Tamandua tetradactyla: one gene and its partners. The protein of the gene in region 2 interacts with the protein of the main gene of each other region in a pairwise test. Links are inferred from orthologs where the notes say so. Each region holds a gene or a part of one and is shown on either strand. Other genes may lie near its edges.

What was found.
Region 1: the proteins of TMEM79 (region 2) and SEC22A interact in binary tests that used the Homo sapiens proteins (3 or more experiments, as listed by UniProt). The two-hybrid records come from large-scale screens. The link is inferred for Tamandua tetradactyla from reciprocal best matches to the Homo sapiens genes TMEM79 and SEC22A.
Region 3: the proteins of TMEM79 (region 2) and RNF8 interact in binary tests that used the Homo sapiens proteins (3 or more experiments, as listed by UniProt). The two-hybrid records come from large-scale screens. The link is inferred for Tamandua tetradactyla from reciprocal best matches to the Homo sapiens genes TMEM79 and RNF8.
Region 4: the proteins of TMEM79 (region 2) and SLN interact in binary tests that used the Homo sapiens proteins (3 or more experiments, as listed by UniProt). The two-hybrid records come from large-scale screens. The link is inferred for Tamandua tetradactyla from reciprocal best matches to the Homo sapiens genes TMEM79 and SLN.

What each region holds. Positions count from the first base shown.
Region 1 is NC_135336.1:22,208,091-22,215,726, reverse strand, and holds the start of SEC22A (vesicle-trafficking protein SEC22a), read left to right. Parts: upstream 1-4,625; 5' UTR 4,626-4,719; intron 4,720-4,728; exon of another isoform or gene 4,729-4,962; intron 4,963-4,968; exon of another isoform or gene 4,969-5,105; intron 5,106-7,636. UniProt on the Homo sapiens protein: May be involved in vesicle transport between the ER and the Golgi complex.
Region 2 is NC_135330.1:9,312,207-9,319,913, forward strand, and holds the start of TMEM79 (transmembrane protein 79), read left to right. Parts: upstream 1-4,614; 5' UTR 4,615-4,733; intron 4,734-5,513; 5' UTR 5,514-5,556; coding exon 5,557-6,298; intron 6,299-6,571; coding exon 6,572-6,785; intron 6,786-7,707. Other genes in the region: nonsense-mediated mRNA decay factor SMG5, read right to left, coding at 1,296-1,369.
Region 3 is NC_135331.1:94,290,399-94,297,757, forward strand, and holds the start of RNF8 (E3 ubiquitin-protein ligase RNF8), read left to right. Parts: upstream 1-4,322; 5' UTR 4,323-4,460; coding exon 4,461-4,571; intron 4,572-7,359. UniProt on the Homo sapiens protein: E3 ubiquitin-protein ligase that plays a key role in DNA damage signaling via 2 distinct roles: by mediating the 'Lys-63'-linked ubiquitination of histones H2A and H2AX and promoting the recruitment of DNA repair proteins at double-strand breaks (DSBs) sites, and by catalyzing 'Lys-48'-linked ubiquitination to remove target proteins from DNA damage sites.
Region 4 is NC_135334.1:34,159,731-34,167,237, forward strand, and holds the start of SLN (sarcolipin), read left to right. Parts: upstream 1-4,449; 5' UTR 4,450-4,546; intron 4,547-7,507. UniProt on the Homo sapiens protein: Reversibly inhibits the activity of ATP2A1/SERCA1 and ATP2A2/SERCA2 in sarcoplasmic reticulum by decreasing the apparent affinity of the ATPase for Ca(2+). Also inhibits the activity of ATP2A3/SERCA3.

The DNA of each region.
Region 1 (7,636 bases), on a different chromosome or scaffold from region 2:
ACTGGTCAGAACTTGAATGTTTACAAATCCTCTTAAGCTCCAGTAGTTGCTCAGCTTATAGCCCCCCAGTTTTAGTTTTTTTCTTCAGAAATTGTTCTTTAACCAGACTAGGTACAGGTCTAGCCCTGTACCTAAGCAAAAGATTCAAGGGGACCATTATGCATATTTCTGGATATTTTTCTCTGTGAATCTCCCTCCTTTCTGGTGCTCTGTCCTGAAATTTTCAGTTGCTTTAGTCTCTCTGAATTTAAATTAAATTGTGCTGGTTTGAAACTGTTATGTACCCCAGAAAAGCTATGTTCTTCTAGTCTAGTCTAGGGTGGGGGGGGGGGTGGAGACCTATTGTTGGATGAGCCTTTTGATTAAGTTGTTTCCATGGGGATGTGACCCACCCATTGGGGGTAGGATCTTTTGATTAGATGGAGATGCGACCCCACCTATTCAAGGTAGATCTTAATCTGCTTATTGGAGTCCTCTAATAGAGGGAAACATTTTGGAGAAAACACAGATACAGACATTTGGAGATACAGAAGGACCACGGAGCTAAGAGAGCCATTTTGGAAACCAATCCAGGAGAGAAGGGCCAGCAGACATCACCATGTGTCTTCCCATGTGACAGAGAAACCCCAGACATGATCAGCTTTTCTTGAGTGCAGGTATCCTCTTGTTGATGCCTTAATTTGGACATTTCCATGGTTTTAGAACTGTAAATCTGTAACCTAATAAATCCCTTTTGTAAAATCCATTTCAAGCATATTGCTTTCCGGCAGCATCAGCAAACTGAAACACATCTTAACTGAAGAAGCCTCATCAAAAGGTACTAATTACAATGGGTTCACACCCATAGGAATAGATTAAATTTAAGCACATATTTTTCTGGGGTTTATACAGATTTAAACCACCATAGTAGCCATATCCCAATTTCTATCACCATATATTAGTTCTGCCTGTTTTTGAAAATTATTTAAGTGGAATCATATAGTATGCAACCTTTTGTGCTGGCTTCTTTGGCTCAACATTATGATTACGAGATTCATTCATGTTTTGCATACAGTTGTAGATTGTTCATTCTTTTTTTAAAATAGTTTTTTTATTGTGAAATATAACATATATACAAAAAAGCAAAAAATTTCCAAGTATACTTTAATAAGTAGTTATAGAACAGATTTTAAAGTTTGGCCTGGGTTACAGTTCCATAATTTCACTCTCTTTGATATATATATATAGTATTCCAATATATGAATATTGCAAAATTTATTCAGTTTATGGTCAACGGACATTTGGATTGTTTTTAGTTTGGGGCTATTATAAACAGTGCTCCTGTGAACATTCTTATATATATGTCTTTTGGTGAACATATGAATACATTTCTCCTGAGTTTATACCTAGGAGTGGAATGCTGGGCCAAAGGGTAAGCATATGTTCAGTTTAAGTAGATATTGCCCAGCAGTTTTCCAAGGTGTTAACACAATGCTCTTAAAATTTCAATATGCCTAAATTAAAATTAAATGCCTCAAACACATTCTAGATTTAATCTATCTTTATTCTTCCCAATACAAGATGAGAACTTAGCATGTTTTCACTTTACTTTCTTCCCTGCCATCTTCCATTTGAAGATCTTCTTGAGAGTTTAGTTCCAGTTTATTACTACTTTTGCTAAAAAAAAAAAATCAACCTTTACTTAGACTAACCTGGAATGCTTCCCTGCTTTTCGGCCCCAGTCAGTTCATTCACTTTTCTTCCCTGGGGACAGACACTTCTCGGTGTCCCTGCTTGTGCACAAATGGTGGAGGGAGAGAGACTGATCCAACTGAGTCCTTCTAATGGGGTATCTCATTAAATCATCCTGGTAGTTGCTCCTGGGCTCCCCCCACCCCCCACCTAACTCCCCGTGTTCACCAACTATGGACTGAGAGCACCAGCAAGGTAGGTTCCACCTCTGCCAGTATTATTTGTCTTTAGTCCTTTGGTTATGGAGGAGGACACTGAACCATGTGTTAAGTTAAGTTTGCCATCTTCCTTCGCTCTCTCTACTAGAGCTATTTCCTAGGTCCTCTACACTCTCTCCTTAGATGCCCATCTATGGCTTTAAATATTGTCTATACTCCAGCAACCACCTCATTTATATAATTAATCCAGACCTTTCCTCTGAACTCAGGACCTACATATCCAAATCTGTTTGCCATTCCCATTCATTAGTATCTAAAATTTAACACATCTGAAACCATTTGCTCCTCATCCTATTTCCCTGAATCAGTTAAACGGCTTCTAGATTCATTGAGTTACTTAAGTAGAAATTCAAGAGTTATCCTTAATACGCTTTTCTTCACCCTTCCCTGCAAACCAATCCTTTATTAGGTCCCTTAGATTCCACCTCCTGTTTATACATATCTTGAAGTTATCCATCTGTGCTGGTTTGAAACTGTTACGTACCCCAGAAAAGCCATGCTCTTTTTTTTCAAAAAAAATTGATTAATTAATTTTTATTATTACATAGCTGTGTATTCTTCACCATGATCACTTCTTGAATATTTGCATCACTCCAGAAAAAAGAAATAAAAAGAAACAAAAACAACTCATACATCCCATACCTCTTACCCCTCCCGCTCACTGACCCACAGTCTTTCAATCTACCCAATTCCCCCCTTTATCTCCCTCTATTATTTTTTTTTTCTACTTATCATCACTATTTTACTCATCTGTTCATACTCTGGATAAACGGATCATCAGACACAGGATTTTACAATCACACAAAAAGCTATATAGTTATACAGCCTTCCTCAAAAATCAAGAATCAAGGCTACTGGAACACAGCTCTATAGTTTCAGGGACTTACTGTTATCCACTCCAATACACTCTTTTTAAAGGGATACCTATACAATGCATAAGAATAACCTCCTGACTTCTGTTTGAAATCTCTCAACCACTGAGACTTTATTTTGTCTCACTTCTATCTTCCCACTTTTGGTCAAGAAGATTTTTTTCATTCCGATGATGTCAGGTCCCACATTGCCAGGGAGATGTATACCCCTGGGAGTCATGTCCCATATAGGGGTAAGGGCAGTGAGTTCACCTGCCAAGTTAAAGCCATGCTCTTTTAATCCAATCTGTGGGTGCAGACTTATTGTGGGTGGGATCTTCTGATTAGGTTGTTTCCATGGAGATGTGACCCACCCAATTGAGGGTGGGACTATTTGATTAGATTATTTCCATGGCGATGTGACCCCACTCACTCAAGGTGGATCTTAATTAGCTTACCGGAGTCCTAAAGAGCTCACAGAGAGAAAGCTTGGAGCAGACACAGATTGCAGAGAGATGAAACCAAAACACAGTCGTTCGGAGAGGTAGAAAGAAAGCACCCAGTAAAAGTCAGAGAGACTCACAGAAAGTGAGAAAGATATTTGAAATCAGAAGCAGGGAGAGAAGCATAGCAGACCTTGCCATGTGCCTTCCCACGTGACAGAGAAACTCCAGGTGTGATTGTGATGGGCCTTTCTTGGGTGAAGGTATCCTCTTGATAACTTAATTTGGACATTTCCATGGCCAAACTGTAGAACTGTAAATTTATAACTTAATAAATCCGCTTTGTAAAAGTCAATCCATTTCTGGCATATTGCATTTCCGCAGCATTAGCAAAACAAAACACCACCTCTCTCTGACTCTACCACCTTTTCCCAAATTCAGGCCACTATCATCTCTGGCCTTGACTTATGCATCTGCCTCCAAACTGGCCTCCCATCATCTCCTCTTGCCCTCTTCGAATCTATTCCCCACAAACAGCCCAAGTAAGCTTTTAGATATGTAAATCAGTTCATACTTAACACTCACTGTGACCTTAGGACATATCGCAAAATACAGTCTGAAATCTAAAATGTGGCCAGACCCTTCATGATCTGGACCGTGCCTTAATTTTCTTAGCCTCTCCTTGCTTGTTACACTGGGCCACATTTGCTTCCTTTGTGTTCCTATAATACATCAAGTTCTTTCATGCCCAAGTTACCTGAGGCATAATATCCCCTTTGGCTGGGACATTCCTTAAGGCTGTTTCATATGCGTGGAGCTAAAAAAGGCACTTCTTCGGTGAGCTCTTCCCTGGTAATCCAAAATACATCACTGTACCCAAATTTCATTGTGTGCTGTGTTTACTCCTGTAATCCAATACCTAACATAGTGCTTGGCACATGGTCGATATTTGGATAAATAAATACTTGAAGGTCCGATGCCGAGGCTGAAAGGGGCTGTAGGGTAGAATGTTGCACTTCTCTGCCTCAGTAAGGTTCCTTCTTTTGTGTAGTGGTAGATGGGTAGGAGCTCTTTACTTACTCATCCAGAGTGGACAGGACCAGTGTTTGCTGTAGGGTCCCGTGTGAGGGACAAACTGCCTGCAAATACAGGGCGGCAGTCGAGGGAGATTATCCACATTTCTGAAGGTCAGCATAGTTCTGTCACAAGACTATTGTGCCATCTCCTGGTTCAGGTGCAAGAGAAACGACCGAACTCTCCTGGAATGAGCCAAATTAACTCCGGCCACTAGTAGGTGGGTTAGCGTCTCCTTCCCACAGAATCTGACTGGCCTAGGCGCCAAGGCTACGGGGCGGGGCTTGATTCCGCCGGGCGCAAGCCACGTTGGACGCGGTGCCGCCCCGCGGAAGGCCACGCCCTCGCCCCACAATGCACTGCGGGGCGCGTCACTCCGCGCGGTGGGTCCCGGCTCGACAGGTACATCTTGTCTTCTGCACCCCTATTCTTGTTTCGCAGGGCGGCTCCGACCCTGGCCTTCCACCCTGGGTATTACAGACCTACCCGGAACAGGAACTGAGCCCGAGGCGTGGGGGCGGAAGCCGAGTGTCGTTGGAGCCGCGAAGCTTCGGAGGGGCGGGCAAGCGGGGACACTGTCCCCTCCGGCTTGAAGGGTCTTGGGGGCCACGCGGTCGGCGGTTGCCCCTCGGCTGACCTACCTGGGTATGAGGCTGCCCGGACTGAGTGTCCAGGGGGTTGGGATAGTCGCTCTAAGCTGCCAGCGTGTAGAGGGAGTGCCTCCGACGTCCAGTTGTCAGAAACATGAAGATCCATCTGGGATTTTAGGTGGCCCGAGAGGGCTTGAGGTGCATTTCTTATTTTTTCCAGGCAGAGTGAGATTTGAACCAGTGATTGACTTTAAGTTTTTTGTGGGGGGTTGAATGGACGTCGAACCCAGATATTTAACAGCGTTGGCTCACGGAAACCTCAGGAGTTACTGAGCCAGGGAGACCCAGTTATTGGCATTTTGGGAAAGATGTGACGTAAGGGAGACCTGAGTTATTGTCCCAACAGGTGGAGGAGGGCTCCCAAAGAGGCGGCTAACTCGGCTTGAAACTCTGCTAGTGAAAACATCTGTGGACTTTCTACCTACTCCTTAGTTTCCTGAATCGTCCATCTGGAGTAGTTGGAGAGAGTGAGCTCTGGCCCCTCCTATACCTCTATAATCAAGATTAAAGCCAGTCCAGGTCTAAAGTGCCAACCACCAGAACCGAGAGGTTATTCGATCCCTACTGACAGATGAAACAGCCACTTTCTAAAAATCTGTGAATTCCATTCCATGTTACTCATGTTTATTTACTTGCTGACGTTATAAGGAATTAGGAAGTTATTTGAACAGCACCTTCTGTTTCTAGTATATGCAGATTATAGCTCAATATTTGAATCTGACACCTGTGATCAGTCCCGATTCAATGGGCCATCTGAACCTTTCCCATGTTGAGAACCATCATATCAGTTTAATGCTTTTTTTGGTGTATAGCTGATTAAAAAAAAAATCTGAAGTATGTTTTATGTTGGTGTGTGAAAGAAGCGCACTCCTGTCAAAAGGTTTGGCTGACCTTTTCCATGTGTTTGAGTAAGAAAGCTTCGATATGTTGCGAGACAGTGTCTCATAAGGTGACTGTTAGATTTAAGTTTAAATTCTTACTCTGTCACGTCCTCGTTTAATGATTGAACAAATCACTTAACCTCTCTGGGCTTGAATTTCCCCAAAGGTGTAATGGAGCTAATAATATCTACTTCACAGGTTATTGGAAGGCTTAAGTGAGGTAATGTGTGTTAAGTGCCTGTCCCATAGAGGGCAATTGATAAAAAATAAGAATAGCAAATACTTAATATAGCATTTATAGTCTGAAAGGCAATCTTTCAGGTGCTTTACCTTTAGTCTTTAAAATAACTTGTTGAGATAGTTACTATTAATAACCACAATTTACAAGTGAGGACATTGAGGTATAAAAAGACACATTAACTTGCTCAAAACTACACAGCTAGTACATGGTGGAGCCAGGATTTGAACCCATGCAATCTGGCTCCAGAGTCTTAACCACCATACTGTACTGCCTCTTAAAGAAAATGTAAGTCATTATTTGATTTTTATTTCAAAATGAGTAACTGTATAGTTAATAGATTCTTGTCCCTTGTTGGTTTTGGGAAACCAGGGTAGCATATTGATGTAAGAAATGAGAAACTTAGGTTTGAGTACCAGTTCTGCCTTATATTAGCAGTGTGATGTTGAGAAAGTACACTTAAGCTTCATTATCTATAAAATGAATGTTATGTCTACCTCACTGTGAACTATCAGGTACTCCATAAATGTTGGGATTGACACATTTGAACACGTGTTGGGGGCCCTGTTCCTAGATGTGGGGATAATCTGCTAGGGTCTTACACATACTGTGCCATGTAAACATCTGTAGTAAGAATCTCAAAGGCTTCTGGTGAAGTAGGAGGTATAGGCAAATTTGCAGAACAAATTTTGGTTGTCCTTGATACCCATTCCTCTTCTCTTCATGCTCTATCTCCCTTCCTGCTTCTCTCTGGCTGGCTGTAAGTCCTTTCCTCTTTTCAACTGAAGCTTCCCCCACCTTGTGCATGACAGTGTAACTTGCTCTTTAAATAACCCTTTTCCATTTCCACAGATCTCAGCTAACACTTTTAATAAGGTAATATGTACTAAGGTAGTTGTGCTGCTTTGAGACTGTTGTGTACCCCAAATAAACCATGTTCTTTTAATCCTAATCCACCCTTGTGGGGGCAAACCTATTTTTTGGGTGGGATCTTTTTTATTTAGTTGTTTCCATAGAGATGTGACCCACCCAATTGTGGGTGGGATCTTTTTATTTTTTTAAACTTTTTATTGTATAATATAACATATATACAAAGCAAAGAAAGAAAAAAGCAATAGTTTTCAAAGTAGTCTTCAACAAGTAGTTATAGGACAGATCCCAGAGTTTGTCATGGGATCTTCTCAGATTTTTCCTTCTAGCTGCTCCAGAATATAGGAGCCTAGAAGGAATAAATTTTTCTTTTCATCACAATCAACTTTTTTGTTTTCTTTTTTGTGAAAAATAACATATACAAAAAGCGATAAATTTCAAAGCACAGCACAACAATTAGTTGTAGAACATATTTCACAGTTTGGTATGGATTACAATTCCATAATTTTAGATTTTTACTTCTAGCTGCTCTAAGATACTGGAAACTAAAAGGAATATCAGTTTAATGATTCAGCAATCATATTAGTTTCTTAAACCTTACCTTCTCTGTATAATTCCACGATCACATTTGATCTTTCTATACTTCTCTTTAGGGGTATTTGGGCTATGGCCATTCTAAC
Region 2 (7,707 bases):
TTTGAGAATGATCAGGATGACCAGAGCCATCCCCAATAGCTGGTGACAACTAAGGAATATTGCAGACACTGCCCACACTCTGTCTGAGGCAGCACTGACATGCAGCAACATAACAAGGTACACCTGCCACTCCCCGACAACTCCTTACCCGCCAGGGATTGCTTGGGGCAGCCCACAGTGGGAGCCCAGGGGCAGCTGGATTGGATCATTTTGCTATATTTAGAGCAGCCTAGGCTCCCCCATGCCTTCTGGTTAACAAAGTTAGGGCAGGCAAGATGCCTATTCAAAGAGGAAAAAAACAACATGACAAGATAGGGCCCAAGGCCCTAATGTAGTCTTCTGTTCTACAGAACCTGACCTAAATGAAAACTCCAACCCCCACTCCCTAAAAGAAGACAGAAAACTCAACCAGATCTTGTGTTTCATTCTTTTCTGATCCAGTTCTGGGGCCTATGTTCCAGCTGTTCCACCCAAAAAATCCTTGATCCAGGGTGGGAAGAGTTTATACTGGCCTGTTCCCAACAGAGGACTCAAGGGCTGAAGATGGGACTTGAGGAGTGTGGGTGGCAGGGTGAAAATCAGAAACCAGGAATGGAGGCTGCCTGGCAAAAAAATGTATCATGAAGCTGGGAAGAGGCAAGATTCCCGTTCCCAGGTGTCCTGACATGGGCTCCAACTTCCTAAGAACATCCTGGACCCAAAGTCCTTTTAGACGTTCCAGTTCAACACAACTAGCCTTCCGGTGTCTCTCTACGCAAACTCCCAAAAATTAGAACCAGGAAAGACTTCAGAGCTTATCCAATGCAGATCTCTCCTTTTAAGAACGAGGAAACTGAGGCCCAAGGTCACACAACGAAAGAGTGTCAAAGCAAGGACCTAAACCTGGCTCTCTCTAGTTCAGGACTCTCCCCTGTTCATCCATTCACAAAGAATCCCCACCGGGTTCTTCCGGATTTTTCGCCATCTGTGACTCCACTCTCACCTCCCCAACCTCTCCAGCCCCCAATTCGCAGACTCTTATCCCAACTCCGCAAAGCTCGGCGCCCGACCCAAGCTGCCTGCGGAAAGTATTCCTCCACGTGCTTTCCTCCAGCTCTCCCACCCACCCAATTCCTTTTCAGCTCCTTTCCGGGTTACCGGGTCCCGCGCCTCACCTGCTCCCTCCAAAACTGCACGGTCCTCCCTCGCCCGCACCCTCCCCAGCCCGGCACCCGGGCCCCGCCCGCCTGGGAGGCCCCGCCCCCGCTGTCCCCCTCTTCCCTAGGTGGCTGCACTCACACCCCGGCCCCTCTCACCGGTAAAGCCGCTTAGTATGGAGGACCTTTGCTTCGGGCTCGCTGCTCTCCCCTGTGGGGGGGCCTTGGCTCATGGTGCCCGGGCCCGGGGGCAGCTCCCGGTCACAGGCCCCCACCACCCGCCGCTACCGCCACCGCTGCCGTCTCCGGCCGCAGCCGCCACCGCTGCCGGCCCTGCTCGGCCGCCATCGCTGTGAGGCGGCTGCCCGCGACAGCTCCTCCTCCGCCTGCCAAATCTCGCGATACAGCTGCACAGGTGCAGACCAGTGGCCGGCTGCTGCCAAATCTCGCGAAACTCATTTTCCCTCCCGGGAAGTTGCCAGAACTAACTCTGGGCATCATGGCCTCTTTCCGGCTACTCCAAGCCCTTGAGAAAAACTTTATTGACAAAGCTGCTAGACAGCGGACAGTGGACTCAGTGAGAGGGCTGAAGCTCAGCTGAGTTTGGGCAGGCAGGCAGCCTAGGAGCCTTGCTTTGTCTTGTCCTACTGTGTTCATTTGGTTTGGCTCATCTTTCTGCCCGTCCTTCCCATCCTTACCCCCCCCCCCCCCCCAATATGAGCCGAGCCTTGTTCAGAGTGCTGGTTAGAACGATTCCAATTCTCCATTTTCCCCATAATTTAAAAAAAAAAAAAAAGCGCACGTGAACATTTCCTCGGAAAGAATCGAGTACTACTTAGGAGCAAGACCCGAGAAAACATGACTTTTGTACAAGTGTCTCAATCCATCACCTCCCGCTCTCAAAGCTTTCTAGCTTGCACATGTATCTAGCACCAGTCCGGAAAACATTTATTGAACACCTGCTGTCATCCAGGCACTGTGCTGGGTTGTGCTGGGTTGTGGGGACGCTGAGATGAGCAAGCTGAACACTGTCCCTGCTCTCAAAGAGTTCCAGTGATTTTAGGGATAATGTCCCATGAAGATGAACAGTCATTCTCTAGTCTGCTCTCTAACGTTCTGGCCTCTGGTCCTCACATTGGAAAGATCACTTGGTATCTAACTAGGATTCCTATTGCTTTTTATTTTTTTGTATGCTGTATGGCCGGATAATATTTCATTATATTGCCATGTGAGTATCCGGTTGTTGCAGCACCATTTTTGTTGGAATTTTTGTTTGTTTTGCTTGTTGTTTGGTTGTTTGTTTTTGGGGATAGTGCATGATCCAGGAATCAAACCTGGGTCTCACGCATGGCCAGCAAGAATTCTACCACTAAACTACCATTGTACCCCCTCTTATTACTTTTTTAACCTTAAACCAGACCTAAACAGCAAGGTGTTTCTGTGATACCACAAGCACAGCTCTTTCCATAAAAGGGTCCACCTGACCCGGTGCTATAAAGGAGAAACAAACCTCTCGGTGTGAAGGTGATTTATTGCAAGTACACTTTGCAAGGAACTGGAGGAATCGTCCCCAAACCAGTTCAAAGTGGGGGTGTGAGTTAAGCGTTTTAATAGGTAAAGGAAGGATTATAAGGGGTCAAAAACTAGGTAATGGCCACTTGATTAATTCCTGTCAGGTCAGCAATGACACTGGATCTTCATGAGGAAGGCACCAGCAAATTTCTCAACCCTGTGTTGTCTCAAGCACATTTTGTTGTTTCAGCTTTGGTGATAAGATTTAGTTATTGACGTAGAAGCTCTTATGCTCATCACTTTTCTTAGCTGACCTTCAGATATGTCAAACTTTTTGTCACTGATTCACTGAGCTACTGGGTGTTCTTTTTTTTTTTTTCCAAGTTTTATTGATAAAACAACATACAAGCACATACATTTGTAACATACAAATATTCCATACGTGGTATACAATCAGTGGCTCACAGTGTCATCACATAGTTGTATATTCATCACCATGATAATTTTTTAGAACATTTGCATCACTCCAAAAGAAAGAAAAGACTCATGTATACCATACCCCTTACCCCTCCCTCTCATTCACCACTAGTTTTTCCATCTACCCAATATATATATTTTTTAACTTTAGTATTTGTTTCCCCTGTTTAGTTATTTTTAATCCATACATTTTATTCATCTGTCCATACCGTAGATAAAAGGAGCATCAGACACAAGGTTTTCACAATCACACAGTCACATTATGAAAGCTATATCATTATACAATCATCTTCAAGAAACATGGCTACTGGAACACAGCTCTACATTTTCAGGCACTTCCCTCTAGCCTCTCTAATATATCTTAAACTGAAAAGGGGATATCTATACAATGCATAAGAATAACCTGCAGGATAACCTCTCGACACTGACACTTTATTTTATCTCATTTCTCTCTTCCCCCTTTCCGTCAAGAAGATTTTCTCAATCCCATGATGCTGAGTCCCAGCTCACCCTAGGATTTCTATCCCACGTTACCAGGGATGTTTACACACCTAGGAGTCGTGTCCCGCATGTAGAGGGGAAAGCGGTGAGTTTGCTTGTCATGATGGCTGAGAGAGAGAGAGGCCACATCTGAGCAACAGAAGAGGTTCTCTTGGGGGTGACTCTTAGGCCTAATTTTAAGTAGGCTTAGCCTATCCTTTGCGGGGATAAGTTTCATAGGAACAAACTCCAAGATTGAGGGCTCAGTGATGCTATTCTGTTATTTTATCCCTGTAAGAAGAACGAAGAAGGTCTGGTTAATGTCCTTCTGGAACTAAGTACAAAGAGTATATTGCTAACCTCAGCTGGGGTAAGCATATTTTCCAGCAATCACCTGGACCCGTATACCTGTTATAATGGGAACATAAATTCCCCCTTCCACCTGATGCTCCTGCCACAATTCACCTGACCTTCTTTTTGTTCTTGAAACAGCTCAAATCTAAATCCTTCCCACCAGTTGCCTTTCACTTCTGTTCCTCTGCTCGGAATGCACATACTCCTGATTTCTCATCAGGTCTCAGCTTAAATGCCACCTTGTTAAAAACGTTTCCCTTACTGAATTTGTCTTATTTAGTTACTAAGCTTCTTCACTTTCTGCCACTCCAATAGAACATAAGTAAGTTCCTCAAGAGTAGGGGCCTTGCCTGTTAGCTTTTCTCATCTGTGCCAATACCTAGCTAATAATATGTGCTCGATAAATATTGATTGAATGAATGAATGTACGAATTCCACTTTTTTTCTGGATATCCCAACCTACTCCAAGCACCTTTAGGTGTACAGACCCACTCTCCCTGCTCTGTCTTCCTGGGCTGGCAGCTCCTACACATCCTCCACTTGCCTCCTACTTCCAGCAGCCCCACTTCCAGAAAGGCTTTTTCTGTCGGCAGATACAGCAGGGCGGGGCCTGCGCCTTTAATCTGGGCTCCACCTGCTCTGGTCGGACAGGTTTGGAGACACAGGTAGAGGGAGGGAGTCCGAGAGAAATACTTGCAGAACCAGCAGGGAGTTCGGCAGCTCCTTCCTGGAGGGCCGGGACGCCAGGGACCCGCTGCCTTCTCCAAATGGAAAGTAAGAGGGTCTCATGGGTCTGAATGGTTGAGGGTAGGCAGGCACTCCAGGACATGGAAGGAGAGGACTCAGTCTCATCCACAGGAGCAGAGAGATGGAGGGCAGCAGGCAGGGGAGGAAGGCAGGAGAGGAGGCATGGGAAACAGCCATGATTAAGCCTAGAAGTTGAGAATGGACAGACCAGGACTCTGCGGAGGTGGGCTAATGGGGAATTCAGCAACTGACCAAGTACCCAGATTGGGGGTGAGGGGGCAGGCCACCTGGGGACTGCCAGCCCCTTGGGACACATGTGTTGGCAAATCACAGGTACCACCTCCAGGAGAGTCCTACCTAAGCAGGGAGGTGGGGAGGTGGGAAGTTGGAGGGGCCGTTTCTCTGACCACAGGAAGATCTTTAGCGGGAAGGAAACGCTCGGCAATATTCTAGACACCTCCTCTTCCTCTCGTTCCTGGATGAGGGTGGCCATGACCCCAGGGGTTTTGGTGGAGGGGTAGAAGGCATGGGCGGGCCGGCTGAGGCCGCAGCTGCCAGGGCCTGTGCCCCCTGACTCACCCTCTCCTGCTGGATGGCACCTGATGTCGAAAGGTGCCTCCATTTCAGCTGCTCACTTCTTCCCTCCCTCCTCCCTCTGTTTCAACATCTCCCTCCACACCATGTTCTCCCTAAGGTCCCAAAAGAGACCAATGCCCATGAGATTGGCCTCTCTGGAGAGTTCCAGTTTCTGCCAACTGCTCGGAAGGGCCGGGGGCCTCTGACAGAGCTTCCCTCTGCTCCCTGCAGGGTGACACAAGCTCACGATACACCCCAGACCTGAGGCCCCAGGATGACAGAGCCCGAGACCCTGACCCTGCTGGAAGTGAAGGGACCTGAGGTCCTGGAGAAGAGCCCACCCCAGGCCCTGGTTCCCAATGGCCGGCAGCCAGAAGAGGAAGGTGAAGCCGAGTGCCCCAGAGCAGGCTCTCCAGCGGGGTGTCCCACGGCTGCGGAGGAGACTGAGGCTGGTCTGGGAAGCACGGTGAGCGAGGCTGCCACCCTGCCCTGGGGGACTGGCCCCCAGCCCAGTGCCCCATTCCCCGATCCCCCCGGCTGGCGGGACATGGGGCCAGAGCCCCTCGAGTTGGAGCCCCCCACCAAGCCCGAGGAACTCCCCGGAGACGATGACAACCTGCTGCCCACGAAGGCTGCGCGGGCCTTTGTGCCCATCGACCTCCAGTGCATCGAGCGGCGGCCCCCCGAGGAGCGCGCTGTGTGCCGGGAGACGGCCGAGGCCCAGCGCAGAGCCTTCCGGCCCGCCCGGGTCATCCACCCGGAGCCCCCCAAGTGCAAGTGGGCCGAGGCAGCAGTGAGGTCGCCCGGCCCCTCCTGCGGGGCCTGCAGGCGCTGCGGGGGCCGCGAGGGGCTGCGCGCCGTGGCCTCGGTGGGGGCCGCCCTCGTCCTCTTCCCCTGCCTCCTGTACGGGGCCTTCGCCTTCCTGCCCTTCGACGCCCCGCGGCTGCCCACCGTGAGCTCCCGCCTGGTCTACACGCTGCGCTGTGGGGTCTTTGCCACCTTCCCCATCGTGCTGGGTGAGTCCGGGCCCCGCAAGGAGAAAGGGCGCCAGACCCGGGGAGGGCAGGGCCTGCCGGCCGTGGGGAGTGGGAGCCCAGGCCCCTTGGCGCCCCCTGTCCCCCTGCTCCCCACCCCCTGTGTGCCCATCCCCTCCCAGGACCCCCAGCCCCACTGGGCACAGCCTAGGCCCTGTCCTTCTGCGAGGCCTGCCCCCCTCTGCCCTGGGCCCTGCCCCCTAGCCTCCTGCCTGTCCTGACCCCATGTGCCCCCCACCCCCACCCCCACCCCAGGGCTCCTGGTGTATGGGCTGAGCCTGCTGTGCTTTTCTGCCCTGCGGCCCTTCGGGGAGCCTCGGCGGGAGGTGGAGATTCATCGGCACTATGTGGCCCAGTCAGTCCAGCTCTTCATCCTCTACTTCTTCAACCTGGCCGTGCTCTCCACATACCTGCCCCAGGATGCCCTGAAGCTGCTGCCACTGCTCACTGGTCTCTTTGCCATCTCCCGGTGAGTTGGGGCTAGGGGCGGGGCCTGGGGGAGGCGATGGTGCCAGAGGGGCCGCAGGCATCCGACAGGCTAGAGGGCCAGGGACAGCGGGCGGCTTTTGGGATTCTGCAGCAGCTCAAATGTGCAACCTGGAGAGGTGAGTGCTTCCCCCCTTGCCCCTGACCTCACTTGGTTGTAGATGATCAGCCCATAGGCCTTCCCCCAGGAAACTGATTTCAGAGACACACACGCCAGCCTTGAAAGCAAAAGGGCCTTCAGGTGCCATCGCGGTCAAACTCCCACTCGTTGCAGCCACTCTTCCTCTGGGGCACTCTGGCCAGGTGGCCCTTGGCTGCTAGTTGTGCGGCCCCTGTGACGAGGTGCTCAGTTTGTTTTATTTTTTAAAGGTTAGAAAGGTTTTCTTTATATTGTGCTGAAAACTGCTACCTTGACTTTGATCTCTGGAACAAACTCAGACATTTGATATTGAAATGCCTCTCATTTCTCTCTATCCCAACACCCTGCTCCCCCATTTTCTTTATTTTGCTAAATGTCCCTGGTCCCTTCACTGTCCTGGGTCCTTCCCACTACGCAGAAAATTCTCTGGTTTGTCAATGGGGCCAGTCATATTACTCTCCTGTCATTCTGAGTTTGTAGTCCCTGATGTCCTGAGGGTTTTGTTTTTTTGTTTTTGTTTTTCTTTGTATGCCGTATGGTGGGGTCACATTTCATTATTTTTCCATGTGAGTATCCCATTACTGCAACACCATTTGTGGAATTTTTGTTTGCTTTGCTTGTTTTTTTGTTTTGCTTGTTTGTTTTTTGGGAAGGGCATGGACCAGGAATCGAACCCGGGTCTCCTGCATGGCAGGCTAGAATTCTACCACTGAACTACCCTTGCACCCCCGTCCTTAGGGTTCTATTTTTCATGTGAATTACTGTT
Region 3 (7,359 bases), on a different chromosome or scaffold from region 2:
CCTTGATATGATGTGATGAGAATGACACTTTACCTTTGTGGTCTTCCTCCCCAAACCCATAACCCTAGTCTAATCATGACTAAAACCTCAGACAAATCCCAACTGAGGGTTATTCTACATAATACTTGGCCAGGCTGGAGTTATAACAATCGTTAGGAAATTAGGTTCTGGAAACAGACCTGAGTGTTACCTGCCATTTCATTTGTTACTTTGGGAATTTCTCTATGCCTCTTTCCTCATCATCCCTAAAGTGGGGATTATAATAGTAACTGTTGCTTTCTGTAGAAACAGAGCTGGAAGGATATTAAGGAATGATGAGAAAAAAAGAAAGGAAGAAAGAAAGAAAGACACAGATGGGCTCAGGGGGTCTGAAGCTTGAGTTTACTTCAGACAGACTTCAGACCCCCTGAGCCCGTCTGTGTCTTTCTTTCTTTCTTCCTTTCTTTTTTTCTCATCATTCCTTAATATCCTTCGAGCTCTGTTTCTACAGAAAGCAACATTTGGCGCCCAACGTGGGGCTCGAAGAAGACTCCAAATCAATATTAAGGAACCAAGGAAAAGTCTCATAGAGGCACGTGTGTCCAGCCGATAGAAGAGGACTCGAGTCATATTGGTAAAGTAAGCATTTTCCTTGGATCATCAGGGTAACGGGTAATCATAATAGGCGGCTGGAGGAGTATGTGTGTGTGTTAAAGCTACTGGGGTGCCTGTTAAAACATCTGAATTAGTAAGCTTATTTGATCTCATTCAAAAACATTGTTGTTGGTTTCAGCCTTAAGGCCATAATGTTTTAAATCTTAAGTAATGGAAATTCGTTATGAAGGCTTTGCAGTGAATATAAGACGGGGAAAATATTCCTGTTTCTATTTGGTTATTGTGTTCAGTCAGGCAATGAACTACCTGGCTCATGCTTTGTCTTAAACTCTAAGTTGTGTTTCTTCTCAATCTCCCACTACCACTTCTTACCCTGTTTCGACAGTTGCTTGAGCCGGACTCGGCAACTGGTGCCCAAACAGGGATCTAATAAGGGAACTCTTAAAGCATAAAGTGAGGAGATGCTCCAGGGACATCCACTACAAATACTACAGGCGGGCCTTTTTGGGTTGAGCAGTGGCCCTTATCTGTAGAGAGGTTTGAGGCTCTGACTCGGTTGATTTGGGAACAGTTTGGAGCAGGACGTTTACAGGAGTCTCGTGGTTCTTGGAATTCTCCAATATTTATTGCAGGAGGGAGGTCAGGAAAATGGAGAATGTTGACTGATTTGATAAAAGTTGATACTGTGATTCAGCCTATGGAGTCATTGCAGCCTGGCTTGCCCACACCAGTTGTAATTTCTAAGAACTGATTTATTATGATAGATTTTAAAAATTGCTTCTTTGCTGTGCCTTTGGCAGAGCAGGATAAAGAAAGATTGGTTTCTGGGCTTGTTCTTGATGGGCTGCCTTTATATAGGGATTCATGTACACCTGAGTCAGAAAGTATTCAGTGAGAAAGGTGCCATACCAAATGGGGGTCAGTGCTCATTGATGGTTCCTGTGGCAGGTTGGTCCCCAACGGGGTGTGCAGTTCGGGATTGTAGTTCTGACTCAAGGTATTCTGTTAGGTTACCTTTGTTTAGTCTGAATGATTATTCTATGAGATTTATACCAATACTACAGGTAAAGTCCTATGACTCAGAATGGGAACGGCAACCCCATCTCCTTTTGTTAACTTAAATCCTCAATAAACAGCAATTTGGAAACTGGCCATGAGTTTAGCTCCTATTCATGTTTGAAAAGAGAAATATATTTTAAGAACTTTAAAACTAAAAATTCTTGTTAAAAACTATATATTGATAGTTAATGCATATTTGAAACATTAAAGTATTTTAAATATTTAACATTATTCTAACAAATTTAATTTTGATGGTAATTACATATGTGGTAAAATATTTGTTCAAAGTAATGATTTAAGTATGAAAAATATGAAAGATGTATTTTTATTAATAGGAAAACAGAATAGTTTTATCCTAAAATGAATAACTGTTACTAAGCGAGAAAAATATAGGACAAAGCCTAAACTAATATAATAAGTGCTGAGGGTTTATAAAAATAGAAATTATGGTTAAAATCAAGAAAGATTTAATGAGTCTAAAATGACAATGTTTTCTTGGACTTTTAGCCTGTTCTAATGAAAGGATATAAAAAAAATTCTAAATAATTAGTTAGAAAGCAAAGAGTCTGTGTTTTATCAAAATAACTTGTGTTAACTTTTATCATGTTATTATCTGTATAAAAAATACTGATTTTCTCCTGGGTATCATCATACTGGCAAAAACTGCTTCTTGCTCTAAACCAGATGGCTTAATCTATTAATCTAAGTACTATTACTATAAATGAATCTATTACTGACTAAATAATATTCAAATCATTTAAATACCTAAATTCCTTTAAGCCAAAATACTTTAATGCTTTGTCCAGTGTTTATATAAACTATATATGTATAAACTAAATTTATCCCAAGATAACCATGGCTTATATTGGAAGCAGATCAGATTTGAGGGTTGAATGCAAGGAAAAAATATACTTGTGGAGTCTTTTTTGTTCACCTGATGTTGCCATTACATGCAACTGATATTGCTGGGAAGACCTTGGTAAGAAATAGTTAAAATGTACACTTTAGCTGGGAGGACTGCCTATCCCCCCAGAAGGCGGTGTACTTTAATAAAGATATCTAGGTCCCAGGAAGCTCCTCTTGGTCCCTAGCCAGTTCCCAGAGGACCCAACTGGGCCCAGTCATGTAAGCAAATCAGAATTTGGCCACTATTGTGAGAAAATATCATAAAAACTGCATGAAATAAATTTAAAATTAGCAAAAATGCACAACCAATTATAAAGAATCCACATTCTTGCATTCCTTTTTAATCAATCCAATGAATTCAATTTTAAAAATCTGGTCATTTACTATGGGTACACGTCACTATTGACACTCTGCTTTCATTTTTGCTATCTGCCACTTTAGGGATTCCTAATTATATGTTACAAAACTTGTTTGATATTTTACAAGGAGATTCTGATTTATTAAGCAAAAGGCAGTTAACAGCTGCAGCTGAATGAGAGTTACAATTAATTGAACAACGCATTCAAAAAGGACAGCTTGTTCAAATAGATCTAAAAAATCCTGTTGATTTTATTATTTTCTTTACCTTGCAATCTCCCACAGGCCTATTTTAGCCAGACGGTGTTTTAAAATGGATTTTTTTACCAAACAATTGACAAAAATGTTTAAATACATATTTGCAAAAGATTATTTCTTTAATAGTCAAAGGTCACCAAAGATATTATCAATTAAGAGGTCATGATCCCTAATTGCATAGTGTGTGATCTCACAAAGGAAGCAACAAGTAACCACCGTGATCACATTGTTTGTGAGGAGCAAATAAAGCACTTGGCCTAGTGCCCAGCACCCAGCTCTCAATAAATGTTAGCTGTTTACTGGTATGCTTTATAGATTTAATTTAGTATACATATTTTCTCCTGATATAATTTAATATAAGAAAATTGTTAAGCAGGTATTGGAAAACTGAAAAGATAACAGCGGACATTGTATCATCCCAGAGGAAGTTACTATCTACCCGGAGTAGCTACCATACTATGTTGGAGATTTAAACAAACAAACAAAAAAAACAAACACATTTTATTGAGAATAATTTACATACCATAGAATTCACACACAGGAAGTGTAGTTGTTTGACTTTTTTTTTGGTGAAACGGTTGTGCAATCACCACCACAATTCAGTTGTAGAACCTTTACATCATCGCCCAAATTCCTCAAGTCCACTTGCACTCAATCCTCCGCTTCCACTGGGCTCCAGGGAAGGACTCATCTGTTTTCCGCCTCTATAGATTTGCCTAGTATAATTTATCAAATTGGGTAATACAAGGTGGTCGTGAGAAATAGATACTATTGAGAGACAGACTTAGATTTAAAAATTACCACGAAGTTGTTCAAAAGTGGGTTACAGTTTTAAATAGTATGGATCTAAGTACAAGTTATAAGAATAGGGGTCGTAAGTACAAGTTTCGAGAGAAGGTGGGGGAGGTAAGTGAGGAGAAGCTCCAGTCTGGGGCGGCTGGGACTGGGGTTGGGGTTCTGGAGAGTGCGGGAAGCGGGGAGGGTCAGTTGATTGCCTCGGGCTGCCCGGCCCTAACCAGAGGTTGGACGTTAGCACGCTAGCGTTAGCACACCTCCACAGCCGCCTGGCCGTTTGCGCAGGCGCACTGCCCCTGGCTTGCTCTCCGGAGGCGGGGCTGGGCAAGTAGCCCGAACTTGTGATCACATCGATCGCGAGCGCGAGGCGATTGCTTCTGTCTGTTGATTAGGTATGGCACTCGCGAGGAAGCCGAGAGGCGGTAGGAGCTGGGACCTGGACCTCGCTGTGTGTTGACCGCGGCCGGGGTCTGACCTAGGCCGTCTGGGCTATGGGGGATCCCATCTCCTTAGACACGGGAGACCGCTCCAGTGGTTTGAGCTGGTGCTTGCAGCGGGTGGGGATGGACGCCGAGTGGCTGCTGCTGGAGGCTGGAAGCGAGGTGAGGGGGGGAGGGTTCCAGTTGGTGCGAGGGACGGGGGTTGGTGGAAGTAGAGGAAAAGGGGAGGGGAGGGAAGGCGTAGGGGCCCGTGGGACCGAAGGAGAAAAATGATTCTGGTGCGAGCGGTTGTGGGGTCTGAGTTGGAGTGTGTGTTGGGGGAAGTAGACATCGAGTGAGAAAATTGAAATACGGTTCATGGGAGAATAGAGGGCCATAAGGGGCCGGGGACAGAGGCGCTGGACACAGGGACTAGGAGCTAGAAGATGGCCCCTTTGAAAGAGGCCTGGACCTGAGAGACGAGCTTGCGCAGGAGTCGGGGTTGTAGGAAGTATTAGAGTGGAGGGAGCAGAGCGAGGAGTGCGCATAGACGATGTGAGAAGAAACTGGAGTTTCCAGGAGGAGAAAGGGGACTGGGACGGCCAGTTGGGGAGCGAGGGAAGTATGAGGCAGAGCTGCCCCAACTTCCACCTTGAGTTGTCAACCCCCTTAAGTTTAAGGCGGAGTCAGGAAGGGCTACCCAGAGCGTGAACTCCCGAGTTTATTTTGAAAACGATTGCGAGTTTTAGTTTATGTCCCCTAAAATACTCAAACCTTAATGTGAAAGTATCTTCCTCTTTTCCAACTCGGAGGATAATTGGCACTTTGGGATAGGCCACGTTTATCCTGTGAGTCTTGTACCGCCGCCGAGTGGCACCTCCTGAAGTGGGCAGAAGGTGGGGATTCAGAAACGTAGGAGTTCTCCTCTCTAGAGGTTGCTTATGATGTTTGCTAATGCGTGCATAAGTGGAAAAAAAAAAAAGAAATTTGAGGTGAGGTTCCAGTTTGGGGCGCTGTGCTTGGTTTGAAAGTATGTATCCCAGAAAAGCCATGTTTTAATCTTGATTCAGTCTTGAAGGGGCAGCCGTTTCTTTTAATCCTGATTCAATACTGTAGGTTGGAAACTGAGTGTGACCTTTGATTAGATGGAGATGTGACTCCCTCCATTCCGGGTGGGTCGTGATTTGTTTACTGGAATCCTTTAAATGAGGAAACGTTTTGGAGAGAGTCAAAAGCCTCAGGGTGGACTTGAACTTCAGAGCAGAGCTGACACAGATGCCAACACTTGGAGAACAGAGACACGGATGTTTGGGGATGTTTGGAGATGCTTGGAACTCAGCAGACATCGCCATGCGATGTTAAGCAAGCCAGAACCTGTAGAAAGCCAAGGGAAGCCAAGAGATAAAAGCCAGCCCCTGAGAAGCAAAGTGAGGAACTCTTACAAGAACAGAAGCTGAAAGCAATGGAGCCCAGGAGCAAGGGACCAGCAGATGACAGCCTCGTGACTTCTGAGCTGACAGAGGTGTTCCAGACCCATCAGCCTTCCTTGAATTAAGGTGTCTGTCTCTGGGTGCCTTAGTTTGGACATTTTGTCAGTATTAGAACTGTAAACTTGTTAACTTATTAAATTCCTCTTTTCAAAAGCTGTTCCATTTCTAGTATATTGCATTCCAGCAGCTTGCAAACTAATACAGGTGTCTAGGAGTGGGATGATGGTTCTAGAAAGGAGGAGTAAGAGTTGTGATCATGTTGGGAAGGAGAGGTGAATCAGGAATCCACCTGTGGTGATTGAAGTTTGGTTTGGAAATAATTTGAGAGGTTCACTTTGCAGTAAAACTAGGTGGTTGATCATTATTTGGGATTAATTTCCAAGTTTTATTCTTTGTATATTTAATTAGACTTTTCCTATAAGCAGTATAGTCTTCCCCAAAGTGTATTCATTTTGGGAATTAACAAATTAAAACATTAACACCTGGATAATGCTAACTTTACTTCTTTTGTATAGGGTTGGGGTTTTCACAAGTGTCACTTAATCTGAGTCCCTGTATATGCGCTATACTCTCACATGCAACCATATTAGATACTTAATACTCGAGTGTTAACACATTCTTTCAGATTCAGTTGCTATGGATTAATTTATTACTTCTCCTGGACAGCGTGTGATAGCACTGGGAGTCTTGGAGGGTAGCATAAGGAGAAAGAATTCAAGCACCTGCAGCAAGGGCAAGAGGACTGTCAAGCACTCTTGGACATTTAAGCTATTGGGTAATTTTGTGTGGCTGCTTCTATGGGGAAAGATGCATACAAACCTGAGTGAATGGTGAAGATGACTGCGGCTTGCCTAGAGGGCCTGGGCAAAGGAGAAGACCTGCTTGGCGTGATTATCCTCAAGATGTGCTCTTTTTTTTTAGATATTAAAAAAGAAATTTAATATCTTCAGTAAGTGAAATGGAAGGAACCCTGTTTTACCACTTTATCTGTGAAATGTAGGGCCTTGAGGGGAACTGGGAAGGTAGGAAACTGACTTTACTCTGCTGTTACAATCAAATGATGCCAGCACACCTCCTAAAATAAATTGGCTTATTGAGGGTAAGATGATGCAAAAAATATAAAAATTAAAAGCTTATCTGGCATTTAATTGACTTTTCTTCCACAGTGTGTCAAATGGGAGTTGGATTTTATTTGTACATTTTCTAAGGACCCGATCTGTTTTGAAATCCTTATGCAGAGGGAAACTGTTGGGAAGATTCCTTAAGCAGCTCTTGGGATAATTCTTATGAGGGTGGGGGAAATTAATTTCTTAATTCTGCCTACTTCTTTCCCTTCTGCTTTATGTATTCTACAAAAATAGTCATTACACGTGTTGGTGAGCCCAGCAATTAGCAAAAAGAAGCCCTGGAAGCCAACTTTGTCATCAATACTGGTCTAGATCCTTCATTATTTTGTCCTCAGCCAGAGGGTCTTTTTGATC
Region 4 (7,507 bases), on a different chromosome or scaffold from region 2:
TTCCTCCTTTTTTCCCATTCCTGCAAGGGGACTTAGCAAGTACTTTAGTCACTGTCCAAATCACTCTGGGATTTACATGATAAAATTTTTACTAAAAGTGCATAAGATTGGAAGCTCCTGGGCTAGAGGGTACTTTAATCATTTCACTGAAAGCACTATGCATAGTGCTTAGGAACACAGGGCTGGGTCCAAGGACTTTGGTTTAAATCTCAGTTCTGCTGCCTACTAACTCCCCGAACTTTGTCAAGATGCAACTTTCTGGGTCAGAGTTGTCTCCTCTGTGAAATGGGAATGTTCATATCCACTTCATGGTGTTGTTATGTGGATGAATTAAGGTGGTGCATGTTTAGTAAATGCTATCTGATTTTGTTGTGATTATTATTATTTTAGCCTTAAGTAACTTTTTTCTCATTCTTGAAGAGAGTTGGCCAGACTCAAGTCTTCTGGTTTGTTGTCCATGATCTACTACATCTTCAGTACCTTTCTCTATTCTTTGTAGGCAGCTGTTTCATGTTTTTATTATCTTAGGAAGAAAGAGCTCTATGCTAGCTTGGAAGTCCTATAGTCTTTCTTGGTGTAATTCTGATGCCACTTCTCTCACACTGCCTTGTGCCCTCATTGTTTGTGTTCTTTTCTTAACTTTCTTCTCTTGAGGACACTGATCCTCTCCTGGATCCTTATGGTCTCCCATTTGCCTAGAACGATGGTTTGTATGTAACTCACTCAAAACCAACTGAACAATTGCATGAGTAATAGGCATGGTGACTTGACTCTGCCCTGCTGCAGGACACCTCTCCTGCTCATTAGGGACAATAGCGAGCCTGCATCAGAGGGGAAAAAGGGTGGCAAGAGAAAGTCTTGCCAACCTTGCTTCAATTCCATACACATTTTCACCCCACACTTACCCCCACACTTAATGCTCATCTCAGAGGACTTTTATACTAATTGAAACTCAGTCCATGCTCCTTCAGTCATAAATAAAAAGAGAAGTTTAGCCCTTGCCCAAGAGAAAGGAGTCCCCTTGACATATTAAAAAAATTATTATGAATGAAAGAAAAAACCAAAGAACTAGCAAACTGGACATCCGCACCGGCAGGCTTTGTGCTTGGCATGTTTACATATACTATCAACTGAATCCTGATTTCAAAGCTTCAAAAGAGTTGTTAGTATTCCCATTTTACAGACGAGGAACCTGAAACCCAGAAAGGATAAATACTTTCCTCAATGTCACTTAGTAAGTGGAAAATCCAAAATGTGAACACAGGTTTTTTGTGACTCCAGTTTACCACATAGTCTCCGATGAAGGCAATTTCTCCCGAATTGGCTTGGACTCAAATGTCTGAATTGACAGTTCTGTGTGGACCCCACCACACAGTGGCCATTCAGGCTTCTTTCTGACCTTTTCCTGGGCTTTCCCTGTTGCAAGAGGGCAGGACTTACACGATCGTTGTGGCAGCAGTGACAAGGAAGGAACTTGAAGAAGTAGGGCTTCTTCTTTCTCTGGGCTTGTGCATTTGGCACAGTGAGAGGAATCACCGTGCGCTGCTTGCTTCTTTCTCAGCAGCTGGATGTGAAGACATGAGGGTGAAAAGGGCACCATGCTGATCGTGTTCATTAGTGTGATGTGCTAAGTGCTTAGCACCTCTCGTCAAGGCCTTGCAGAAGTCTCCCATTGTGTCATGGACTTGTAGAATTCATGGACTGATATAAAGTCTCCACATTTCTGTTCCCAAGAATGGATGGAAGAGAGGGATAAATTAAACAAGCTAGTTTAGCTCCTAACCAGGCATAAAAGCTCAGCATTGATTCCCAAAGGTCATTTTACACTTGAGGATGTATAAGCTGAGCTAAATGCCAATTAGATCATCTATGTTAGTGTCAATGTGAATGTTATTTTCTTGACATTTTTGGTCCTTAGCTAAATTCTAGATTAATAGGCATAGAAATAATGTCAAAAATTATTAACTATATCCTTCTTCTGATAAGCCGAACAGCACTTGAAAGAAAGTTGATTTGGAATGAATGCTGTCATGGAATTCCTCACAGGAAGGTAAATGTCATTAGAGTTAAGTAAGGTTAATCGTAAGGGATGAATTTTCTTGGTTCCAAGGTTTGAAATCTTGTCATTCCCAGCTTCTCACTGAGAGACAAAAATCTTGATTTTTTTTTTCTCCCTTTATGGACCTGCTGATAATCAAGGTTAAACTCTGCTTGAAGCATTTGAGTAGTTGTGAATTTGGGTGACTGGCAGTTTTTTCTGGAGAGGATTAGTCCAAACTAATATCAAGCTAATTTCCAAGTCTAATCGCACTCTCTAGTGGCATCCCAGGAGAAACAGCTAATATGAAGAAGTTTCCAAAGGCACCATCTGGCCACCAAGCCTCATGGGAACTTGTCAACTACTGGGCACAATTGCTCCTGGTACACTGTTAGATATGCTCAAAAGGGACAGCCAGATAGAGAGACAGAGCTGCCTTGGCAATTCAGTCAAATACGCAGTGTGATTTTTTCCAACTCATGTTCAAATCGACCAGTTCAACTAAATTGACCATCTGTTTTAGTGATATGTGAATATCTTCCTGTTGTATTTAATATTTAAAATATTGTAGCATTAATTTTGCATTCTGATATGTACAAAATAAATGCGTGTCCCATAAATCCAACACCAATATGTGGCATAGTATGAAGGATTTGACTATGTAGGGATCAAAAAAGGGAAAGATTTTTTCAAGTATCAGAATTTCTTTACCAAAATATCTTTGGAATTTCATATTGTGGCTATGTATGGCCACAAAGTGTCCCTTTTTTTGGGTAGCAGTAGGATTTCATGTTTAGCGTACATTGTGTATGTGTGTATGAGTATGTGTGTGTACAAATTGCTAAGGAGAAAGGCAGAGGAATGTTGTATTTCTTAATGCATTAGGCACGCATATGGTACACAATTCTCAACCATCTGAATAAAAAGTAATATGAAGTTTATTTTCTCTTAGGAAGATTAAAGGTAATTATTTTTTCTTATATACTTTGGCATATTTTCATTTTTTGCAATAAATAAATAATTTTATTTGGGAAAAAAATTTTAAGTGGTTTTAAAAAGGGGGGGGGGGGGGATGGATATTGCTTGGTAACCAGGAAAACATTCTTAGCATTTAAACCATCTGGCAAGCACTTGGAGGCAAAAGATCGAAATCTGACTACATTCAAGGAGTTTGCCAGATGGAAACAAATAACTGCCAATGTTCAATTGTGCTATAATTATTATACACTACCTGTCACTTCAGCAAGCTCTTTTTACAAGGCAGGTGGTGACAGAATGCTGTATTAAGATTATGGGTTGATGGTGAAATGAAGAAATGGAATGGGAAGTCTTTCTTTTAGTGATACCTTTGGGGTATGTGAAAAAGGTTTGACTATGAACACAAATATTTAATTTTATTTGTTTTTGCCTTCTGGGAATATATTATTTCAGTTGCCCCTAATTGGGAATTCCAAAGGGAAAGTTATCCTATTTCTTATAGAGAAAGGATTTGTTGAGCAAACACAGTTGCAGGGGTCAAGTTTAAGGTACTTAATTGATCTGCTTTCAAGTCCAATTAAACACTTAGAAATTCCATTTACCTTCAAACATCTAGTATGCTGATTAAAACTTGTCTTAACTAGTCAGTGTTTGTATTTGAAATTAATAAAATTCTATTTCCTTCAAATATATTCTATAGTTCATGTTTTTCATTAATTTTGACCGGTTCTCCTTCTACCCCTAATCTATCCAAAGACTAGGTTTTGCTGTATGAGTTTAGTGCTGAATTAGTTTACTGATTGAATATGCAAACCTTCTTCTCACGCAAAACTTCATCAGCTCTCTCAGATGAAACTATCTTAATGTGTAAATTTGCAATGTACAGGCTTAACTGGAAAGTCCTGTAAAGCTGATGACTGAGAGGAACATTTTCACTACTTGGACTAAAAAAAGTCAGTTTTGAAGGAGCTTGAGCTGCCTTTTGAATTCTGGTGTGTATGTGTGTGTGTGCTCGCACACACATGCAGGCATGGGTAAGGAAGACAGAGAATGCTTTATATTTCAAGCAGGTAAAGATTTGAGGAGTGAAATGAAGTCCATTTTTTATACCCTGAGTAAGGGGAGCAGCCAAATGCAGCATCAATTTGTTAATAGTCTATCACTGTCTCGGGGTTTATGATGTTTTAAAGCCATGTTAGAGATATTCATGAATATGTAAAAGACAAGTTGGAAACAAATTAAATGCACCAGTCACCTTCGGAAACAGCAGGCTTTTAAGTCCTTGTGATGTTAATACAAATTAGCAGCCAAAGGAACAAAGTGTTAGTCAACATATTTCTCTGCTCCCCTAAACGCAAATAGCCTTGAACCTTCAGAGGTTGTTCCTTTGAGATGGTTCATCGGTGACATCACACTGGTTGCCACCTGCTTGGACTACTTTAGGTCCTGCCCAGAGCCCAGAAGTCACACAGCTCTGGAGGAGAGCCGGCGTTTGAAGAGAAGAAAGAGGAGAAACCCACCGCAGCCACGGTGCGTCCTTGACCCTTTTTGGGGGTAATAGCAGGATTTTTATGTTTAGCATACATTGTGTGCATGTGTGTTTGTGTACAAATTGCAAAGGAGAAAGGCAGAGGGATGTTTATATTTCTTAAAAGCAATAGGCAATGCCTATTGTATACAATTCTCAAGATGTAAAGTGAATATTATTGATTCTTATTCTCCTTTTTTTTTCTCCTCATGGTACACATTTTCTCCCTTCCTGTTTCTTTTTTTATGAAAATTTGATTTTCATAACATAGAAAAAGGGCTGTATTTCATCTTCTCAAAGTCTCCATTCAAAGAACGTCAATGTCAAACTTCCTGCTCAATTTATTCAGAGATATTTTGGTTTTTATTTCATCCACTTGGCAGTCATTTGGGATGATATGCTGTGAACTTGACAGAAACTTCAGAGAAGGTTTAAAATGGGGACAAAACTGTCTTTGGGGATTAGCAGCAGAAAAATGGAAATTTGCTGAGATGGATTTCTGTCTAACTTGGTTCATTCTGGGTGTAAATGTGTGTAAAAGTAAAGTCCACCCCTTACAATTAGCATTATGTGTTGAATTTAATTGGATAATTAATTGGATTCACTAGAAAGTGCTACATATGCTACAAACATACGTAAAATGAATGTTTTATTCATCCAAAAAGATGTAGAACAACAAATATTTCAAATTTACTAAATAGTAAGAGGTAAGCCTCAGGAAAAAAATAAGTTTGGTAGGTAGCCTATTAACTCAGGGACCATCTAAAAAATAAATGTGAAAAGTACATCAAACATGTGCAGTTTAATCAACAACTACAAGGCAATGCCCACCTGGGTTAAGAAAGAGATTACTGCTGGCACCCCAGAATCCATCCCTGATCTCCCACTTCTGCCACCCTAGGGAATCACTATTTTAATTGCTGAGATTATCTTTCCTTGCTTTTCTTTACACTTTTACCATCTATGTCTGCATCCCTAACCAATATGATTAAATTCCCTGTTTTTGACTTTGTATAATGGAATCATATTTTATGTTTCTTTTAAATTCTACTTTTGCCCATCACTTATGCTTGTGAAATCCTGTGTGTAGCTGTAGTTCATATACTTTCTTTGCTCTATTGTATTCCGATGCATGAGTTTACCAAAATTCATCATTTATTCTACTGCTGATGGACATTTGAGTTGTTTCCAGTTGGGGCTATTGTAAAATGCTGCTGTGAGCATTCTTGTACAGATCTATTCTGGTACACATGATCTTGAGTTGCTAGGGTAGAAGCGAAATTGCTAGATAAATAGGAAACAAGCATTTTTAAGTTTAATAAAAATGCCAAATTGTTTCCCAAAGTGGTTGAAAATTTACATTAATGTTGTTTTAGCCAGTCCAATTAATTGCAGTATTAACGCATTCTTGTAATCACTCCTATGCAGAACTATAATCCCAACATTAGTTCCAGTCTGCCAGTTCTAGCTCTGCCTCTAATTTGTTATGCATCATAACACAAGCAACTTAACCTCTTTCTAAGAGTCGTTTCTCAGAGAGTGGAAAAAAATAAAAATCATAATAGTACTTGCCCGAGTTGTTGAAGGTTGTAGAGTTACTGTGAAGGTCGCATCAGCAGAGGTGTGGAACAGTTTTCCTTAGCATTTCCTCACGTTCCGAGTCTATTTCTTTGGGACCACTTCACAAGACTCTTTAAAAGCTGATTCTAATAAGCAGATTTGGAAGGACAGTTATTGAAACCCTTTTTCAACTGGGTTGCTTTGATCATTGTAATCACACTCTCATATTTTCTGCATATCTTCGTAATCCTTAATTTATCCAAATAAGTAGGAGTTTGAACCAGCATTTGATTTTATTAATGAATTCATGAGGAGGATTCTGACTTTGATTCTGTTTCTGTGTCTCAAGCCTCCTGGCCTGAGGTCATCATCTTCCTGTTATCTTCTGCCCTTTGGTACATTCTTATATATTCTCTCTTCCTTTATTCATTCACTTTCTTCTGTTAACTCTCTCCTCAAAGTGAATCTTTGTGAAAATTTTCATTGGCAATCGACTAATTTTCTTCATGCATAGGGCCAAAAGATGGCTAAGAATTAAAAGGAAAATGAAACTTAAATCAGTCATCATTGGCCTCATTTTAAACCAAGATCAGCAATGTACTGGTTGGCACCACTGATTTGAACCTGTGTGTTATACCAACAATAACATAATTGAAAAATGATTATTCAGCTGATGCCTAAAGATTTAATAACTTGGTCAATTAAAAACACAGTAAATGCAATTTCAGTCTTGCTAGATGGCTAAACAATACCATTCAGGTCAAAATTTTAACAATTCTTCTACCTGCATGAACTCCCACCCTTAGCAAATTCCCTTTTCCACTAAACTTTTTCACTCCACATTTTTTTTGTCCTTAATATCTAAAATATTATATTTCATATTTTATTTCATTTATTTTGCATGAATTTACAATGTCAGTTGTACTACATCAGGTAATAATTTGATTGACTGCCTGCATATGTCCTAAAAGTATGACTTCCTGTGTATACTCTCTGCGCACACTATGAAGATACCATCCCTGCTCTTTGAAGTGTTCATAATCTAGGCACATCCTGGACTTGACTAAAAATAGCTGACACAAGCCCTTATTGAAATACAAATACACATGAGGTAAACACTTCTGCTTTCTGGACTCAGCACCTGCTATGTGAGGGACTTTGAGTTGACCCCAATAGGCTCTGTGCCCAAAGCAGAACTTGTAAGAGGCCAAGCAGCTGTTGAAGCAACTTTCACCAGAGTTAGTTGAAGACCTATAGCAGCCTAAAACCCTGAAAGATTGATACCCTACTGCTATCTGTAGTTTAAAACACGAAGGCTACTAACCTATAATATATATATATACATATTTTTTCACTTTTTAAATTATGTAATAAAACACATATACAAAGCAAAGAAAGAGAAA